2 linked regions of the Canis lupus familiaris genome follow. The protein of the gene in region 2 purifies or fractionates together with the protein of the main gene of each other region. This does not show direct contact. Links are inferred from orthologs where the notes say so. Each region holds a gene or a part of one and is shown on either strand. Other genes may lie near its edges. The genes, in order: EP300 and KLF5.

What was found.
Region 1: the proteins of KLF5 (region 2) and EP300 purify together in Homo sapiens (affinity purification with western blotting; 3 studies listed by BioGRID). This does not show direct contact. The link is inferred for Canis lupus familiaris from reciprocal best matches to the Homo sapiens genes KLF5 and EP300.

The regions. Positions count from the first base shown.
Region 1 is NC_049231.1:25,055,725-25,059,533, forward strand, and holds part of EP300 (histone acetyltransferase p300), read right to left. Parts: exon of another isoform or gene 2,591-3,809; coding exon 2,411-2,590; exon of another isoform or gene 2,205-2,410; coding exon 2,060-2,204; exon of another isoform or gene 2,029-2,059; intron 1,424-2,028; exon of another isoform or gene 1,334-1,423; intron 32-1,333; coding exon 1-31. UniProt on the Homo sapiens protein: Functions as a histone acetyltransferase and regulates transcription via chromatin remodeling. Acetylates all four core histones in nucleosomes. Histone acetylation gives an epigenetic tag for transcriptional activation.
Region 2 is NC_049243.1:27,271,282-27,275,606, forward strand, and holds the start of KLF5 (Krueppel-like factor 5), read left to right. Parts: upstream 1-1,322; coding exon 1,323-1,583; intron 1,584-3,168; exon of another isoform or gene 3,169-3,307; intron 3,308-4,115; coding exon 4,116-4,325. UniProt on the Homo sapiens protein: Transcription factor that binds to GC box promoter elements. Activates the transcription of these genes.

The sequences.
Region 1 (3,809 bases), on a different chromosome or scaffold from region 2:
AGTGCCTGTCGTAACTCTTCTGGCTTGAAAACTTAAGAGCACATTTGAAATTAGTTTTCAGCTAAGCAAAAGAAGAAAATGCTCAAGGTAAAACTATAAAATTATCTCATGAACCACAAAACAAGATCTGCCTACACTGTCTCCATGGAGGTATCACTTAAGACACACTTTTTTTTTTTTTTTTAAGATTTTATTTATTCATAAGACAGAGAAAGAGAGAGGCAGAGACACAGGCAGAGGGAGAAGCAGGTTCCATGCAGGAAGCCCAACGTGAGACTCGATCCTGCGATTCCAGGATCACGCCCTGGGCGGAAAGCAGTGCTAAACCGCTGAGCCACCCACGCTGCCCCACGCTTCTATTTCTAATTCCTGGTCTGTCTCATAATGACTTTAGAACACCAGGTCTAGTCAGTTTTAAACATCCTTCAAGGCTCAGCTAATTTTTCAAAAATTCGGTCAAGATAAAATTCAGTTAAGATTCAGTCTTGACCAAGTAGAAACAGAATCCTAAACATTCCAAAAATTTATGAAGAAACTTGTCAAAAAACATTCCAAGGGTGGGGGGATACTGTCAAACACGAATAGAAAAAAGTCCTCATTAATAAGAACAGTATTTAACAAGTCAGAAATTAGACCTGGTATTGTCCTAATGCTAAAGCAATCAGAACCCCTGAAGGGAAGAGTCCCTCATTAAATTTAGCGTGGTGTTTTAGAGCTAAGGAAGAGGACATATTATCTTAATGGCAAATGTCAGGTTTAAGTCTAATGTCAGGTTTAAGTCTAAACAAAGAGAGAACTAAATTGTTATTGCTGAAACAATGGACTCAGTTGACCAAATTTCATTCCAGTGTGTTCTTAATATGTTTCCTAAAGGTCAGGAAAGAATTGCTAGTGTATCCCAAATGGAATTAATTTTAGCTATTATTTAAGAAGCTATACATTAAGGTTTTGGCAGTTTTGAGCTTTAAAACACTCTCAGCAGAGGCTTGTTACTTATTCTATTTACAAATTAATTTTTATCTTCAGGAAGGGTATTTGTTAGTACTTTATTGTTCACTTCATGGTGGGGATGACCATGGGGGAAAAAAAAAGAACAGATGGGAAAGGATACTTTGTTTTTCATATCTGATTATACTAATAAGAAACAAAATTTGAATTTGTGAAATTAGCTATTTACAAGACAGATTCCTAGTAAGATTAGGTTTCTTGCAGACTATATTAAAATGACACCTCAATTATAGGAACCTCATTTAAATGCAAATAATTTTTTTTAATCTCAACATTTTAAACTGCATTATATTTAACGGAACACCTTTATATATACCATCTTTAGGAGCCAGCACACTCCTCCCTTGAGAGAAGTCCTACCTGTGCCACAAATGCATCACTAGAGTCACAAGAAGTTCTAGTCCCAACCTAGTTGGTAAGTCAATTTCTGTGGGAATTAAACAACTAACGAGAGTTTAACACTCTGTATTAAGCAGAGCTGCTTGCTCGACTGGATTCATTAATATTTAAGAGCTGGTTGGGAGCAGACTCTGAATCAGCCTGCCTGGGCTCATTGATGAGATTAGTAATAAGCTGGGACAAGCTACTTAACCGTGCTGAGCATGAGGTTTTCCCTGCCTATAAACAGGGACCAGTAACTAGAGTTGTTGTTCAGTTAGATGAGACAATGCAAACAGCAATGCCTAGTGGGCAGGAGGTTAACCATAAACAGTACTATTATCACTGCTAATATTTCCTGCATTTGAGTTAAGGATATGTAACAATTTTTCTCCTCTGAAAAAAAGATAATTTTGAGGAGTTGTTAACCACCCAACCCTGAAGAAATCATGGGCATAACTGACCCAATGACTGCAGGAAGGAAATTGACCTATAAAAAAGAAACAGTCTTCTCCAACATTAGTATAACTAAGATACCAAGCCAAAAGGACTCTAAACTTAAATGAAATCACATTAAAGTCAATTTCTAAAACCTAAGAAGCCTGATCCCATTCTACTCAAAGTTTTCTTTTTTTCCCCTAGCCTCCAGGAACAGAGAGCCTAAGAGACCTACTCTTCTTCTTTGACTGTCCTGGGGCTGGAGAAGACTGGGTAGTTGAAGTACTTGGCTGGTCTTCCTCCTCTTTTGTTTCAGCTTTTAATTCAGTGCCTCTTTCTTCTGTTTCTGTAGGTTCCATTTTACAGTCCTCTGCTTTAGTCTGAAAGACAAGGTCAACATTTTTAGTATTCCAAAGACTTGCCACCAGAAAGCAACAAGATTATTATCTTATTTACTCTGTCCTGTGGACATATCTAAAGACCCTTCCTCATGTGGAAATCAATGAAATGAGACCTAATTATCAGAATGCTAAACTGGTTCCTAGACTGAGGTCCTAACCAACAGCAGTCCTTGCCCTGCTCTCACCTCTGGAATATCCTCTGGCTGAGTATCTGCTGGTTCTGGTGGATCCACTTCCATCTTAGCCTCCATTTTCACTTCCTGTGAAGGCTGCTTCTCAGGAATGGTCTGAGAATTGACTTCTGTGCTACTAGTGGATGGAGGGTTTGATACCTGCCCTTCAATGCTTACAGCTGGCTGGGAAAGCTGGGCAGAAAAAGGGAAAAAACAAAAAGTTTGCCAATGATACAACCAGAGTTTAAGCTCCACAATAGGACAGCATCATTTACCCTCTATCTCTGGACTTGAATCATTATATTCATTTATTGTGCTTTCTCATACTTGGACTATTTCATGTCCTTGAAGTAAACTGTGCTTCAGCACAGGAGCTTGAGGACTTGCAACACTGGCTGGCTGACTATACACAGGAAAGACAGCCAGTTTCTGCACTAGCTGTGTGCAATGTGTGAGGGGTAGGGTCTTAGAGATGACTGCCTCAGAGGAGAAACAAAGAAAATAAGGATTGACTATTTGTTTTAAGTTTCTGATGGGAAAAGCTGCAAATGTATAGAAAAAGTAGAGAGCATATAATGAACTCCCACACTGAGTAACTGTTTTGAATCATGACATTCTAATGGGATAACTAGCAATCTCTTTTTCCTAAGTCATCCAATAAGAAACCTCATGAGTAGTTAGTATTTTTAGGAACTACCCTAAACAAAAGTTTCCTTTCTGCACTCTGCTATTTCTTGCATATCAGAGGCTGGGATGAACCAGTTGCTAACTTATGATGTTTTATGAAGTAGCTATTGACTCAAGGGATTTCTCTGTTCACCAACATGACAGAGAAATAAAATATAAGTGAGCAAATAAAAAGTCCTGAGCCTTGACATACAGAATTCTATTGAGAATTCTATTAGTAAGGATGCAACTATTAGATGTGAACTTGGATTTCTCCTATGTACATAATGAGCCTCTCACAAGGAAGCTACTGACTGTTCCAGGCCCATACTTTTCTCATTTTAGGTCATGATTTTCAACCTTAGGACCACAGACATTCATAAACCTATAGTTTTGTTCATTCACTCTCAAGTATTCCACAGCTCAGTTTGAAAGAAATTATACATAAATGGAAAATTTATGTGGTGTACTAAACATACTATGGATTCTTACCCCTTGTCACCCTGCTTATATGCCTTCAAGTCTCAGAACACAATTCAAAAGATACAATGGTCAGTATCAGACCTAAGCAGAATCTTTGAGCTCCCTCTATGCTAGGTACTATAATGGGAAGAAAGAATAGGAAGGAAAGGAAAGTCCCTAACTACAAAGAGATTCTAGTTTAACTGGAGAGACAACACAATATAGAACAGAACTGGCATATAAATAATCTAACATTACAGTACAATTTGAAAAGATTCCCCCA
Region 2 (4,325 bases):
TGCCACGTTTCTGTTTTGTAAATATTGAGCTCCATTTTTTTTTTTTTTTTGAACATACAGTGCTAGCAAAAACAAGTCAAAGATGTAATCTCTATTTAAATACATTGGAACTAGTCGTTAGGGCTTAAATTAGATTCCAGGCTTCGGCTAGAATCAAAAGTTGTAAATATCAAAAACTTCAAAATTCATATCCCCATATTCCCATCCTCCTCCTCCCCATACAGATACGAGGTAGAAATTGGGTGTGAAACCTTCTTTCCAGCCATTTACATAGTGTAGGGGAAAACAAGCTCCTATGCCAGGACTTAAAAAAAAAAAAAAAATCTATTGGCCATTAAACCTTTTATTCAGGACCTTCCAGATGGACACGTTCACTGCTGAAGACACACAGACACAAGAGCTGTTTTTAAATTTGCTTATCACACCGCCCCTAGTTCTCCGCTAAAGAAAAGTACATTTTGTATATTTAAAAATACACGCTCCTGAGAGAAGCCCCTCGAACCCTCGGCGCCCCCACCTCGCTGCCTGCCGGGCTTCTCGGCTTTGGAGTCTCAGGTCCCTTGCACAACACCTAAGACGTGCAAACCTCTTGTTTTTTCTCCCTAGCCCTGGCGGAGAACAGTTGGAGAGATCTCCCTCCACGTCTCCACCCCGATTCCCTCTCTTCCTAGATTCCACCCGCGCCTCTCCTTTCCTCCGCCCCCGGCTCCGGCAGCCCAATCTGTCAGAGAAGTTGTGTACAAACTGCGCGGCCGCCCTGCGCGCGAAAGCTCGTGGCCCGAGGGGGCGGGTCAGCGCGGCGGGGGCGGGGCCCGCGTGAGCCTCTCCCTCCTCATAGGCTGCGCCCTCCGGCCCGGCCGGCCTCGGGGCACCGGGATTCGCTGCGGCGCTGCCAGTCAGGCCGGCGGGCCCCGCCCACCCGGAGTTGGGTAAAATAGAGGCGGGCGTCAAGTGTCAGTAGTCGCGGGGCAGGTACGCGCGCTCGCAGCTCGCTCGCGGAGACCGGCGGTGGCGGGAGCGGGCTCCGGCGAGTGAGAGAGCGCGGCGCGGCGCGGCGGGGCGGGGCGGGGCGGGAGAAAGTGGCCGCCGCGGAGACGTTGGCGTTTGCGCGTGGCGGAGCGGAAGAGTTTTGCTTCTCGTGCGCGCCTTCGAAGACCGCGCCGGCTGTTGGCTGAGGGGGTCCGCCCGCCCGGAGCGTCCCCTTCTCCGCCCGCGGCCCCGCGCCGAGCTCGCCGGCCCGCGTCGGCGTGGGCGAGGTGGGAAGCGCGCCCGACCCGCGCCCGGAGCCGCCGGCCCCCGCCCCCCGCCCCCCGCGAGTGCCAATGGCCACGCGGGTGCTGACGATGAGCGCCCGCCTGGGACCCGTGCCCCAGCCGCCGGCCCCGCAGGACGAGCCCGTGTTCGCGCAGCTCAAGCCCGTGCTGGGCGCCGCGAACCCGGCCCGCGACGCGGCGCTCTTCCCGGGCGAGGAGCTGAAGCACCCGCACCACCACCCGCAGGCGCAGCCCGCGCCCCCGCAGCCGCCGCAGCCGGCGCCGCCGCCCGCCGCGGGCCCGCGGCTGCCCCCGGAGGAGCTGGTCCAGGTAGGAAGAGGCGCTCCCCTCCCTCCCTCCCTCCCTCCCTCCGTCGGTCCGTCCCTCCGCCCCCCTCCCGGAGCTCGGGCGTGTCCCGCCGCTGCGACGCGCGGGCGACAGGGGCCGCTCCAAGCTGGGGCGTGCGTCGGGGCGCTGGGGGGCGGGGGGCGGCCCCTCCCCTCCCCTCCCCTCCCCTCCCCTCCCCTCCCCTCCCCTCCCGGCCCTGCCGGCCTGGGCGCTCGCAGGCAGCAGCGAGAAAGTCGGGGGACCGGAAGGGGGGGGGCGTCCCGGCCGGAGCCGCCCCGATGGGCCCGTCCGGGGAGAGGTTCGAGCGGAGCGGGGGCTCACACGCACCTTGGCGTTGCCCCTCGTGCCTCACGTCCAGCGTCCGTCTAAATCCCGGCTCTCCCCTGATGCACCCCGACCCCCACCCCCACCCCCACCCCCACCCCCACCCCACGGAGGATCCCCCTCGTAGGCTCGGGTCAGGTGGAATCGCAGCCCGGGTGCCGGCGGGAGGCGCCTCGGGTGCTACTTTCGTATCTCGGGGCTCAGGCTGCTCTAGACGCGATCTCGGGGCTGCCTTGGGGAACCGAGAGCTGGGGGAGCTGCGGTGGTACCGGAGCGGCGTGTCTGTGTGTGTGTGTGTGTTTTTCCTTAAAAAGCCAAGACCCAGAAAAAGGACCGGGGGTGTTGTTTTCTTCATGTGCGCGTAAATTTCCTCCCGGAGCCGCGTTGAAAGCTGGCAGTTGGCTCTTTACACTTGCCCGGCAGCCGAATTAGAGCAGCCGCCTGTTTCTTTCGCCCACGCAGGGAGTCATATAGCCCTGGAAAAAAAAAAAAAAAAAAAAAAAAAAAAAACTTCCCGGGACTTTTAGCCTGTCCCAAGGAAAAAAAAAAATTGGAAACATACCCACATGCAAACAGCTGGAAGAGCTAAAAGCAGAAACCACTAACCACCACGGGAGCGAAGCGCACGGAAGGGTTTTAGTTGGGTTTATTTCGAGACGCTTCGTTTCACGGCCCCTTGGTGCGGCCCCTGCGCCGCCGCGGGGTCTGCGGGCCTCGTGGTGCCCGGAGAGGGCAGGGGCATTTGTCAGAGGTGTGACTCACAGGGCCCGAGCGTTAGTTTTTATTTTTAAATCGTGTCTATCTGGGAAGCCCTGTCTTAACATCCACAGCGAATGGTACGAGGTCTGATACGAAACGCTTTTGAAATGAAGTGATAGCAAAAAAAAAAAAAAAAGTGTATTATTCACCAGTTAGGATGCCACCACGATTAATAGGTGCATGAGCCATTTCATGGGGGTGGGGTGGGCTCTGCTTTGCTCTGAAAATTTACTTTTCGACGTTAAAAAAATAAATATTAAGTTTATGTTTATGTGCTAGTTTATGTACTGGCATAGAAGAGTTTGTAAAAAGAAAAAAAAAAAGACGGAGGGTGACTAGTTACAAGCTCTGGATCGTTGTGTTAAAAAAAAAAAAAATCCCCACTTGAGAACGATTTGGTTATTTCAGGTTGGTCACTTCTGGTTAAGAGACACCAAGAGGCTAAGGGATGATTGAGCTTTTTTTTTTTTTTTTTTTTTTACAGAGTAAGGGGGAATGTAGCATTGGGCCACTGAGAAGGACATGGTAAATGTTTTGCTGATGACTGTGCTAGGGATACAGCAGCCTCTCCCCACCCACGGACTCCTTAGCACCACTCTACCAAGGGAGTGATTTTCCCCTAGGTAATTAAAGATCTGTTTTAGATAGGGATATGAATAGGAACATTTCATTATCATATTAACCAATTACAGAATCTGCTGATTAAAATCAACATTTAGATCAAATGTTGAAAGTGAAGTTGTTCTGTTCTTTGAGTGGATACTGTTCTGCTCAAGAGGTTGTATTTTAAGTTTCCAGTGACCTGTACATGAGAAAAGGCACTGAAATAGCCAAGGAATATGTTATATTAGATACTTCAACAATATCTACCTGGGCAAACAAACAGAAAGAAACCCTAAAACAGAACTTCGCAATATTATTTTTAAGGTTGTTTTGCTTAGGTTTTGTTTGTTTAAACATACCTGTATTAACATAAATATGGCACGAGCAGAATTGAGGAGGTTCGGCAGTAGTAGTACGATACTGTATTTAAGTTGAAAACTCAACTGTAATGGGGTAGGGAATCCTGCTTTTGTATGTGAGTTATAAAAATACACTTTGTTATCGATTAGAAAGGAATTCTAATCCTTTCTTTCTGCTGCTGCTGCTTTTTTTTTTTTTTTTTTCTTGATTTGCCTGTTAAACTTTTTGTCCGGGGCTGATTGTGGGAGCGATTTTACCAAATACACGTTATAGAGAGTTTCATAAGGGTTTTGGTAAACCAGTTATTACACAATGGACAAATAAACCTGATACGTTTATAAGCGACGCTTGAAAGGAGCTTGCCCTAGTACTTCTCACAGGTATCGCTGGGGGAATTTTTAGTAAGTTTGTCTTTACTCAGCTGATGAATTGGGTGGATTATGCATGTTTGTATCTCTTCTTTTTTAGACAAGATGTGAAATGGAGAAGTATCTGACACCTCAGCTTCCTCCAGTTTCAATGATTCCAGAGCATAAAAAGTATAGACGAGACAGTGCCTCAGTCGTAGACCAGTTCTTCACTGACAGTGAAGGGTTACCTTACAGTATCAACATGAACGTCTTCCTCCCTGACATCACTCACCTGAGAACTGGCCTCTACAAATCCCAGAGACCGTGC